Drosophila melanogaster: one gene and its partner. The protein of the gene in region 2 interacts with the protein of the main gene of each other region in a biochemical or structural test. Each region holds a gene or a part of one and is shown on either strand. Other genes may lie near its edges.

Evidence for each region.
Region 1: the proteins of pygo (region 2) and His3:CG31613 form a complex in vitro, tested with the Drosophila melanogaster proteins (2 studies listed by BioGRID).

The regions. Positions count from the first base shown.
Region 1 is NT_033779.5:21,423,104-21,427,151, reverse strand, and holds His3:CG31613 (histone H3), read right to left. Parts: upstream 1,960-4,048; 5' UTR 1,903-1,959; coding exon 1,492-1,902; 3' UTR 1,431-1,491; downstream 1-1,430. Other genes in the region: His1:CG33804 (histone H1), read right to left, coding at 1-77; His4:CG31611 (histone H4), read left to right, coding at 2,203-2,514; His2A:CG31618 (histone H2A), read right to left, coding at 2,989-3,363; His2B:CG17949 (histone H2B), read left to right, coding at 3,590-3,961.
Region 2 is NT_033777.3:31,574,756-31,583,166, forward strand, and holds pygo (pygopus), read right to left. Parts: upstream 5,945-8,411; 5' UTR 5,198-5,944; intron 5,131-5,197; 5' UTR 4,876-5,130; coding exon 2,549-4,875; intron 2,258-2,548; coding exon 2,137-2,257; 3' UTR 1,080-2,136; downstream 1-1,079. Other genes in the region: gammaCOP (coat protein (coatomer) gamma), read left to right, coding at 46-231, 290-442, 501-631; rod (rough deal), read left to right, coding at 6,268-6,363, 6,426-6,763, 6,853-7,200, 7,261-7,460, 7,525-7,733, 7,789-8,411. UniProt on the Drosophila melanogaster protein: Involved in signal transduction through the Wnt pathway.

The DNA of each region.
Region 1 (4,048 bases), on a different chromosome or scaffold from region 2:
TGGACCACTTTCTTCTCAACTGTCGCTGGTGGGGCAGCCACTGGGGAAGCGGACGTTGCAACTGCAGAATCAGACATCTTTTTTTCACTGAGAACACTTTTTTTCTGTTAAAAATGGCTCGCGCGCTGCCTACCAACCTCCTTTGCTCTGATGAGAATCGAGGAGGAGAGCACTTTAACAATGCTACTGACATCAGTCATTTACTATGTCAAAGTTTGCTTGAAGTGTAAACTTTTATTAATTTTTTAGTATTTTAAATCATTAATAAAAATAAGGTTTTAATAGTTCTACACTTTTAAATAATTTTTTCGTCACTTTCCATTTTTAAAAGGATGTAATATGGGTTTTGAGACTTTCAAATGTTGATTGAATTTTTATATTCAAATTTTTAACTGGACCAATTTATAAAAAAACATCTAATAAAATAAGAATCATTGCAAATATTTCACTAATTCGTTATGTTTATTAAAATTGAAACGTTCATCCCCTAGAAGGGCTTCTGAAAGAAGCGTCTATTATTAATTAAGATACTTTATTACTTGATTTAAGTTCACATTGAACTACAGAAAAATTTGCTTTAAAGCAGCATTCAGAAATAATTTTCGATCGTTAAAAATACAGATACTTTCTTAAATAACATAATATTAATATAATAAATAATATTTTCTTAAATTATTAATGTGTTTGCTTGTTATTAATGTGTTTTCATGCATATTTTAAAATAATTTGTTCTGAAATCAATCGATTTCCTCGCCACATATGCATTACCGTCTATGTAGTCAAATAAATAAATCAAATAAAAAATAAAAAGAAACAATTTTTGTATTATCCTTTATTATGTAATATATATTACATTCCGCAACAAAATTAGCCAATTTCCGTGCTGAATTTTACATAGGTTTTATTTTTTACAGGCGTTTGAAGGGACAGTGTCAATTGTCCCGTACGACCTCTTCAATAATAACACTTTCTTCAGTTAACACATGGAAAAAATATAAAATAGCTAGTTTTATTTTATTATTTTCTGTTATTTTATAAATATTGCCGTCATCAATGTAATTTCATTAATTTCAAACTGTCTTACACAGAATTCAGATTTTTTTTTAGATGTTTAAGGTTCAGAGTCCCTTGCCCCGCACGACACTTTCACTGCTTTAAAGGATGTTCGCACAAAGAACAAATAAAAATATATATTTTTATATATATTTTATATTTATTAACCTCTTCTTTAATTTAATAAATGTTGAGCTGACAATTAAAATAAGATTATTTTTATTCCTTCTCTGGCAGAATTAGTATTTTTACATATGATTTAAGACCCAGTACCGTTTGCGCCATAAATAATAGAATATGAATTTTGTTCTTATTTTTTTTAAGTTATAAATAGTCGGCAACAGAAAATTTTATCTCATTGAATCTGGTTTGTGGTCCTGAAAAGGACCGATTATAGAGTACGCTAGCGCTTTATCTGCAAGTTAATGCCGTGTCAGCTTAAGCACGCTCGCCGCGAATGCGTCGCGCTAACTGGATGTCTTTGGGCATTATGGTGACACGCTTGGCATGAATGGCACACAAGTTGGTATCTTCGAAGAGACCAACCAGGTAGGCTTCGCTAGCTTCCTGCAGAGCCATAACCGCCGAGCTCTGGAATCGCAAGTCCGTCTTAAAGTCCTGAGCGATTTCACGCACCAGACGCTGGAAAGGCAGCTTGCGGATTAGAAGCTCGGTGCTCTTTTGGTAGCGACGAATTTCACGCAAGGCCACGGTTCCAGGGCGATAGCGGTGGGGCTTCTTCACACCTCCGGTGGCTGGAGCACTCTTGCGAGCGGCCTTAGTAGCCAGTTGTTTGCGTGGCGCCTTTCCACCAGTCGATTTGCGAGCAGTTTGCTTGGTACGAGCCATCTCCGATTTGGGTTTCACTAAAGTTCACGTTCACTACTTCACGTTTGAAAACACAATAAACGATCAGAGCATTTGCTACCTACTTATATAGCAATCGTGGACGGTGAAAGAGAGAGAGAGAGAGAGAGAGAGAAAAACGGAGGCCATTTCATTTGACGAGCGAAAAGCGAACGAACATATCGTTCGTACTCTCTCGGGTTTTTGTCGTTTTACCTATAAATAGGGGCACACAGAAACGTTGAAATTAGTTCTTTAGTGACTTTCGTGCTGTGCGTGTATAATAGTATAGAACAGTGAAAAATGACTGGTCGTGGTAAAGGAGGCAAAGGCTTGGGAAAGGGTGGCGCCAAGCGTCATCGCAAAGTGCTGCGTGATAACATCCAAGGTATCACGAAGCCTGCTATCCGCCGTTTGGCCCGTCGAGGCGGTGTGAAGCGCATATCTGGACTCATATACGAGGAAACGCGTGGCGTTCTGAAGGTTTTCTTGGAGAACGTAATTCGTGATGCCGTGACCTACACGGAACACGCCAAGAGGAAGACAGTTACAGCCATGGATGTTGTGTACGCTCTGAAGAGGCAAGGCCGCACCCTCTACGGATTTGGCGGTTAAAAAGTGTACATCCTGTGTACCCCTATTAAGCAATCGGTCCTTTTCAGGACCACCATTCAGTTTTTAAAAGGAGGAAGATTTTCAAAAAGTATTTAATTTTATTGGTCGGGACTCCCAAAAAATATGTTAAACTAAAAATAAATGTCTGTCGTTCGTACTCTTTTAAATAGAATGTGTATTTCTAACATGGATTTGTACAGACTGTACAAATGGTTTCAGACACCGCATGTACAGCATCACATCGTGGTGTGCGATTGTTTAAAGAAGCAAATTATAGTTTATACCGCATATAGTAGAAAACCCTTACTACATTACCATCTTTACGTTAATAATTCTTTATGATTTACTAATTACAACAAATTGCCAAGCTAAAAAATTTTTCAATTCTTTGGTAATAATTTGGTCGTCCTGAAAAGGACGGTTTGATTGACGATTTTATGTACATGTAGGTTTTTAGCTTAGCCTTTGAAACGTTTAGGCCTTCTTCTCGGTCTTCTTGGGCAACAGAACAGCCTGTATATTAGGCAACACGCCACCTTGTGCAATTGTGACGCCGGAGAGCAGCTTGTTTAACTCCTCGTCGTTGCGGATGGCCAGTTGCAGATGACGCGGAATAATTCTAGTCTTCTTGTTGTCACGAGCAGCATTGCCAGCCAACTCGAGAACCTCAGCGGCCAGATATTCCATTACGGCAGCTAGGTAAACTGGAGCGCCTGCACCAACACGCTCTGCGTAGTTTCCCTTCCGGAGCAAACGGTGAATACGGCCCACAGGGAATTGAAGACCGGCACGGTTTGAGCGGGACTTTGCCTTTCCCTTCACTTTGCCACCTTTTCCACGTCCAGACATTTTGCTTTGCGTTTATTTCACTTAGTTCACTTTACGCACGGAACACGAATGCTCGCCTAACCCAGACAGCGAAATATTTATACTTTTCCGTTTGCCTGCGCATTCAGTTAGGGGTGGGTGACTTAGACCTGAATTGACTGCTCGAAAAAAAGTATAAACGTGAACGCGTTCGGGCCCACATTACGATAAGTGAATTGTGTTTGTGAAAATATAAGTAACGTGAACAATGCCTCCGAAAACTAGTGGAAAGGCAGCCAAGAAGGCTGGCAAGGCTCAGAAGAACATCACCAAGACCGACAAGAAAAAGAAGCGCAAAAGGAAGGAGAGCTATGCCATCTACATTTACAAGGTTCTCAAGCAGGTCCATCCTGACACCGGAATTTCGTCGAAGGCGATGAGCATAATGAACAGCTTTGTAAATGATATTTTCGAGCGAATTGCTGCCGAAGCGTCTCGTCTAGCTCACTACAACAAGCGCTCGACCATCACCAGTCGGGAGATCCAAACGGCTGTTCGCCTGCTTTTGCCTGGAGAGTTGGCCAAGCATGCTGTCAGTGAGGGAACCAAGGCTGTCACCAAGTACACCAGCTCTAAATAATTTTCTCCTGCGAATGCGGACAATAATCCAAAACGGCCCTTTTCAAGGCCACAATGTGTTATACCAAAGAAATGCATTTTTCAACTA
Region 2 (8,411 bases):
AAAATCATACAACTTTTTTCAAAACGAACTATTTCCTCATTTCAGCCACCTTTGGTGCCACTTTACGATTTGTGGTCAAGGACTGCGACCCCAACACCGGCGAGCCGGAGTCAGAGGAGGGCTATGACGACGAGTACATGCTAGAGGATTTGGAGCTGACGGTTGCCGATCAGATACAGAAAACCAGAAAGAACAATTTCCAAGTGTCCTGGGATGCGGCTGACAGCGAAGGTGCCACAGAAAGATAAATAGGGTCTATTCAATGATTAGTAATACTCTATATTTGCAGAATGGCTACAAGCCGAGGATACCTTTGTGCTGTCGGCAGTGACCACCTTGCAGGATGCCGTCAACACTATAGTCAAGATCCTGGGCTTGGGCGCTGCAAACCTCTCTGAGAATGTGCCCGAGGGTACGCACCTGCATACGTTGCTCTGTTCAGGTAGGCATCCTTCGCTTTTAGTTCTGAGATCAGTAGTACAGTTTTTCCCCCTTTACAGGAACCTTCAGAGGCGGCGCCGAGATTCTTGTGCGGGCCAAGCTGGCGCTTTCAGAAGGCGTCACGCTCAATCTGACGGTGCGCAGCACGGACCAGGACGTGGCGGAGCTGATAACGGCGGCCATTGGATAAGACAGCGAGCCATGCAGGAACCTCCTTTGGTTCCTGCGTGCTGTGAACGTAATCTGAACTCCCTACGAAACTACGAAACAGAAAGTTACGCCTAATCAAAATATAATTTGTACCTTTAAGCGACTGTCTCTGTAATAATCTTAGAGCCCTGTCCACAATCCGGCATGTGCAACATTGAGTATTGCTACTGGCCATTTCCGAAAAGTTTGTGTGGCGATGCAGCCTTCGGTGTGCATCGCATATGTTTATTATCCCCATTTAGCCTGTGCATTTAGCTTAAGTATGGAAACAAAATATTAAAAATACATGTATATGCAATGCAACCCGACCTGAAGGCGTTTATTTGGCAGGTGCTTTTAAAGTAGGACATTGAAATGATTTTAATGATTGCAAGCTCGTGGAAACCGCACCTCCAAAGAGAAATTGCTTCATAACTAGAACTTACTTTATTTTATATGGTATTTTATTTAATTATAAATAACTTATAGTTGCAGTAGCCTAGAGTACTTCTTGTTTTCCTATTTTTACAAATTTCTTTTCTCGTTTGAATCGTTTATGTTCGCTGCGTCCTCCACATTCGTCTTAAATTACAAATTAACCTTTCTCACATGAATTCATAATTTCTTGTGCTTTTGTTCGCAATCGATTCCTTATTATACATTCTCCGATTCCGACTATGCTGAATATTTTTGTGTAAAATGTATCGACGATGCAGTTCCATCAATCGTTCGAAACGCTCTTCCGTATTAAATATTTAAAATGTAAACGCACACAAGTATAAAAATAATATAGATTCGTAATAACAAATAACACACTCATGCAGTTCGCAGCAATTTCACAATGATAATTTCATTTCGTTACAACTCCTATACTCATCTCCAAATGTGTTGAATATGTCATTAGATATATGTTTATATAGTTACGAGTGGTTGGTTGTCTGTTGTGTTTCATGCGGATTTCTCGCCAGGCGAGTGGTATTCGATTGGAGATGTGCACCATCATCCCGCCTGGCCTGCTCTTCAGATTTATCCATTTTCTTTTATAATACAAACTAGAGTGCTTCTCAGCTTTCATTCCGTCTTCTTGTTGCGACGTTGTCCTCTTCGATCGCTTCACATGCAGACGCTCACACACAAATTACAATTATATTACAATTAACATATTTCGTTTACACTTTTCGTTAAGGTTTGCCTTGCTTATTTGTTTCAGGAGCACGCCGCGAGTTGGCCAGGAAGCCCGGAGCTCAAATTCACAACACTGCTCCGGCACTTTAGTGGTTCGCATTCTGGCTACGGGGCTTAGCTGCCGGGATGGGGACTGGTGGGTCTCTGGATCGGTCGCGGTCTTGACTATTGAGCAGCTTAAGTCTTACAATTAAGATAGAGTTAATGCTTGGATATTTTATACAGTGAGTGGTTGGGTAGCTGGTGCTGTTGCTTTTGCTTTGCTCTCGCTTTCGCTGGTGGTTGATCGATGTGTTTTGCTGATTTCAAATCCGATCCGCTTCAACACTTGAACTTGACCATGGGAATATGCTTGGAAGACACGCACTTGTCGCAGCACCACTCGGCAAACACCTCCTTGTTGAGCATTTGGAAGGCCGCCTCTGTCAGGCCAACACAGGTTCTGCAAAAATGATAGTGGAGTTAGTCGACGACGAACATGAATAAACGAAAACACCTGACTGATTTTATGTATTAATTGAAGGGTAATCCCCTGTTAACTTTGAACTAGAAGTGATAAGACTAATTGCTCATGAGATTCCAATAAACTTTCCTAAACATTTTGTTCCGAAAAGATAATTATCAGGATATAAGCAGTTTAAAATATGATGATATGGACTAAATATTGTTCCTAGATATTTATATAATATTTTCTATTTGACCTTTTTAATCTATTGTAAACTGGTCGACCTACCTGTGAAAGAAAAAGTTACAACCGGATTCACAGAACACGGCTTCGTCGTTGTCGTTCACCTCCTTGTGGCACATGCCACAAGGATATATGGGCGGCGCATTCGGGTTCTGCGGATTAAAGACCATTGGCTGTCCCGGCGGGTACATCTTCCCGCCGCCCATTGTCATCGGCTTGGGACCTACGCCCATAGGGCCGCCCATCGGGCCACCTCCCATGGGCCCCATGTTGCCCATCGGTCCACCGGGACCCATGGGACCTCCTCCACCACCGCCGAACATATTTGGACCTGGGCCGCCCATCGGATTGTGGTGGTGATGCGGATGTCCGTGGTGCGGGGACATGTGCGGATGCGGGGGTCCGTTCATGCCGCCGGGTCCGGGTCCTGGACCTGGTACTCCACCCATGTGGCCGTGGCCCATGTGCGGACCCGCGTTCCCGTGCGGACCGCCCATCATGTGCGGATTAGGTCCTCCGCCCATATGAGGAGGCATTCCAGCAGGACCGCCGTGCATTCCGGGTCCACCCATCATGTGCGGCGGTGGTCCGCCAGGATGATGGTGCGGATGATGCGGGTGGTTCATCATATTCGGATGCGGGGGACCAAGATGGGAGGGTTGCTGCGGTGGCAGCATTTGGTTCATGCCCATTCCGGGCATTGGTCCGGGCCCGTGGCCAGGTGGGCCGCCGCCCATGTGCTGCTGGTGCTGCATAGGAACTGCGTTCGGGATCATCTGGCCCATCATGGGTCCGTTGTTGTTATTGCTGTTGTTGTTATTGGGGCCATTGGGTCCGGCTGGTGACTGCAGCGGGCTGGGTCCCGAGTTGGGCATGCCCGGACTCGGGCCGGCGCTGTTTAGCGAGTGATGCGGTGACATGGCGGGCGGCGCTGGCGAGGATGTAGGCACTGACGTGGACATGGACGTGGCCGTCGATGTGGGCGTGAGCGTGGGCGTGGCGGGCGAGGGAACCGATGAGGAGGCTACCGATGATACCGAAGGTCCATTCGACTGCATCGACGTCGGCACTCCCAGGCGTCCGGCTGCTGGCGAGAGGTGAGGATTTTGATTGTTGTTGCTGGCGTTACTTGTATTGCTTCCGTTGTTGTTGCTGTTGCCGCCGCCGGGATTCCCGCCGAGCATGTTGTTCCCAGAACCACCCGGGTTATTGCCGTGCGCGGGGGAGATGCCACCGGGACCTACTAGGCCGCCAGGCCCAGGACCTGGTCCTGGGATTGGTCCTCCAGGCATGTGACTGCCATGACCCGTTGGTCCGTTTCCGAGCGGACTGTGCAGAGGAGGAGGACCCATCTGCCCGTTGTTCATCGGTGGCTGCGGAGGTTGTTGTTGTTGCTGCTGTGGTCCGCCGGTATTGCCGGGATTCCCAGGGCCCGGTCCCGAGGGAGGGCCCAACGGGCTGCCAATTGGATTGCCCATTGGCGAACCCATAGGCAGTGAGTTCATTGGCGAGTTCTGCCCCGGACCGCCCATCGGTGAACCCTGCATGGCTCGCGGATTGGGTCCGTTGGGACCGCCTCCCATGGGCGACAGACCACCCATGCCCATGTGATGGGGTGATATGCTGGGGCCTCCCATTCCGCCCATTGGGCTCATGCCGCCCATGCCAGCTATTCCACCCATGGGACTACCCATTGGGACGGGTCCTCCAGGACCACCAGGTCCCCCTGGCCTTCCGTGATTCATATGCGGCGGTAGTCCGACGCCTGGTCCCGGTCCCATTTGATGGGGGTGCATGGGGCTCATTCCTCGCATTGGAGGTGGACCACCCATGTGCGGATGTGGGCCATGTGGGTGACCCATAGGTCCGCCTGGATGATGCGGGTGCATATGGGGATGCATGTGAGGCGGGGGAGGAGGTCCACCGCCCATGCCCATGCGGTCTTCCCAGTGCGGGTGCCCACCCGGTCCACCGCCGCCAAAGTGACCACCTCCTGGTCCGCCGCCCATCTGATTCATGGCCGCCATCGCCGCGGCCGCTGAGCTGGACATCGCCGACACCTGGGGACTGTCGTCGAATGGATTCGAGGCAATAATGGTGTCTCCGAAGCCTCCCATTGGCGGAGGGGGCAGCAAATCCTGCGGTGTGGGTGGCGCCTGCTGCTGCTGCATGGAATTCGCAGCAGCTGCTGCAGCCGCCGCCGCAGCCACCGCTGCAGCGGAGTTGGCGGCACTTGAGGTTTTTCGCCGCTTCTTCGGATTGCTCGGCGCCGAGATGATGTCCGTGGGAGGCGGCGGCTTAAAATCGGGCGGACAGAGTCCGCCCGCTGGACCCGGCAATCGATATGGCGCCATACCAAGATTGTGGGTCATATTCGAGGTGTTCTTCTTCCGAATGGTGGCAGCTTTTCTTCAACGGCGTGGGGCAAGAAATTCGGTTGTAGCGGCGTCGCCAATCCCGCGCAGGAGATCTCGACGCTGGTAAAGGAGTGGGTTTGGTTCTGATGTCCCTAGGGAGGTGGGCACAAATCCACTGGATCCTTCGGTGACCAACTACAATGGGTTATGCTTGGTGGGCTTGGGCTTTCTGCCGGTTATCCGGCCTGCGACCGCCTGGAGTTTGAGTTCCTGGGAGTGTGAAGGGTGCCAAATGAGTATCTGGCATCCTGTGGGTCAGTCCTCCTCAACTACTCACCAAGACATCTCCTGGCCAGGACCCTTATGAAAATCGCGTTTTTAAAGCAACTGACTCCCAAAACGCAGGTAAACACTTTCGGCGCAACGAACGGCAACCCCGCTTATTTTTCGGGTTGGCAACTCTACCCTGGAAACCCAGCGTCGTGTTGTCTCGTTTCAAAGCGCCAAGCACCTGCCGCTTCTCAGTTTCTTACTGATCCTTGATCACTTCAGGTCAGGAGTTCGTTTTTTTAGCACTCTGCACTGCGGTTTGCCACTAATTCCCCTTCATAAACCCTTCAAAGGGCGCTTTCTGGCAGCGCTCTTCTTCTTGCCAGCGATTTTATGTCCTCCGCTGCGCTTCCCGTTCCGTTTTAATTGCAGTGCAGCGCTTAACTGTTGTTTATTTACGGGTTCTTTTTGCGTTTGTCTTTAATCGGAAAACAAAACAACCGGCGGTTATTTCCCAAGGAAATTGTGTTAGGGTTTACGCGATTTGTGAAGCCTGCGTTTTCGGTTGGCTTTTTGTTGATTTGATGGCCACTGCAGCATCCACTTTTAATTAGCGCCGTTTATAGGAGCGGCACACGCACGGATTACCGTTACGCGGATTCGGCGGTCCGGCGGACTGACCACTGAACCGTTATATAGCAGCAGCACATTAACCTTTGTTTATTTTGACCAATTTTTGCGTGCGAAGAAGCGAAATATAAATAATTTTCATTGCAAGTCCGCCAGTGTGACCGTTTGCGCACGTCAAGAGAAATGCCGGAATTCCGTCGGCGGCTCAGTGTGGCCAAAGCAAGCCAGCACGAAGTAGTTTGCAACTACGTTAACATTTAAAAAGTAATAGGTTTAAAGGAGAAATTACGATTTGGACATACGTCATTTAAGTAATAAATATAAATTGCGTAAACGTATTAGCCCCAAGGTCAATACGTAGTGTGTCTTCATGCCGCCAATCGTCTATCGATATGCGGGTAATGTTATCGGCAAACTCTCAGGCGACGCTTGTTTATTGGCGGTGTTTAAATAAAGAGTTTAAAATTGGCAGGTTTTGCACATTAGGCTAGAGCGGATTGAACAGCAATGTGGAGCAACTTCGAGGCGTCCTCCCTGGAGGACGAAACCATCTCCAACATATTTTCGTCGCGAGGCATCTTCCAAATAAGCAGTGAAGAGGAAGTGAGTCCTTATTGTGCAGAATCTGCAGTTGGGTTTCTACGCTCGCCTTCTTTCATTGTCAGGTAAACAAATATCCAGATGTCATGGCCTCCGTGCAGTGCGGCAAGATGGTCATTGGCATCGACAAGAGCCTTTTGCTCCTGGAGGACGAACTGGTGGCCAAGTGCAGCTTTCTGGCATTCGGGGCAGCCATTGAGGCCATTGCCATTTCTTCAAGCGGCAACCTGATTGTATGCGGCCTCAGCGATGGCGAAGTTCACGGAGTGTTCATCAAGGGCCTGCTCCTGTTCAGCGTGGCCGTCAATCTGGAGGACGTGAGCCTAACTGGCGGGACCTTCCGGAGCATCCATCAACTGGATCAGCGGTTTTACTTCACCTGTAAGAATGGAAGCATCTATAGGTAAGCCATTCACAGAGATGGGCTCTGGCATATGCGTGATAAAACTGGATCTTGACATTATTTCATTAAACGATTCAAACGCTGTGTAGCTTAAGCGACATTGATGAGACCTGCTTGGAAACGTTAGGCAATATGAGCCTGAATGAAAACGAAACTATAGCTTGCGAAAAGGCCCTGCTCGAGGACGTCACCATTCAACGTCTTTCCAAGGGCAGATCCTCGTGCAGCGTGGACTGTGCAGTGCTGCTCAAGCGGCTGCTGACCGGCAACATCAGTGCCGAGAACAATCAGGATGATCTGGAGGCGCAACCCGGTCTAGTTATCACTGGAGATCAAAGCACTATGAACTTTAGGAATGCAGCCAATGACGTGACACGAATAAATTTGCCCGCTCAGTACGGCAGCCTAAAGCAGATCTTCAACTTGGAACACTATATGTGAGTGGGTTTGCTTATTGTGGTGCTAGAATCCCTCTAACGTGTATCTGGGTTTTGCAGTATCGCACTCACCGATTCCGGCCACTTGGTGGAGATTTGTCCATACACTCGCACAGTGTACATGTGTCAAACTACCCAACAAAAAAATCTGCTCATCGAGGATCTGCTGGTTATGGAGTGCAGCGAAGATAACATTGAGCTTCTGGTGCTGACGAAATCAACGGCGGAGGGACGCTTCATTAAGATAGTGGAGTACCCAAGTATGAGTCCAGCAAACATAAAACATAAACATACAGTAAGGCTAAAAACCTTGTGTCATTGCAGCGCTCAATGTGAAGAACGAGGTAGAAGTTCCTGATCACGCATGGCTTGTGCGTCAGCCTAAGTGTGCGGTCAATCTGTATTATCTGGCTGCCAAGGAAGTCAACCAGAGCAGCATACCCTCCGTGGTGGAGATGATGCTCGTTTCCGAGACCGACCCCAGTGATCGTTTTAAGAAGCTGATTTGCAAGGGGCGACTGGAGGAGGCTGAGGTATTGAGTATAATTGATCTCTTAGTCATTCATTATCCATTAACATTTGCAACAGGAATTTGGCAAGCAGTTTGAGCTGTGCCTCCAGCCCATCTATGAAGCCAAAGCGAAACGCATTTTGGTCGAGCTTTGCAACTCGAATTCACAAAACGTGGACACTAAATTCCAAGACTTGCTGCAACTGCTGTCTCAGGTGGAAAGTAAGGCATTCATAAAGAGCCATCGCATGATCAACTTGAACTCGAGGCACATCCTTGAGCGGTATCTTCACGAGGTCAAGAAGCGGTTGACTTTTGAGGACGACGAGGAGGATATGTTGGAAATCGACGAGCAACTGCACCGACTTAAAACTCTGGCCATAATAGATCCCTACGAATGCAACACGGATTGGCAGAAGTTTATTTACGATAACAACTTGGTCAGGATGGTCAAGTCGCTATTCAACACAGATATGCCCACGGCTTGTCTCATTTGGCGGCGGCATTCGAGCAGCATTCTGCCGCTGCTAAACGAAGATGAGTTGCGCACGCTTTTAGGGTTCATTCCGAGCAACACCAAGCCCTTCAACGTTGTCCAGTGGTTGCGTCAGTTCATTCCGATGGTCAGCAACACCCATCCTAGCATAATGCCCTTTATCACTGACTGGAGTATTGAGATGACGCGGAATCTGCAGTATAG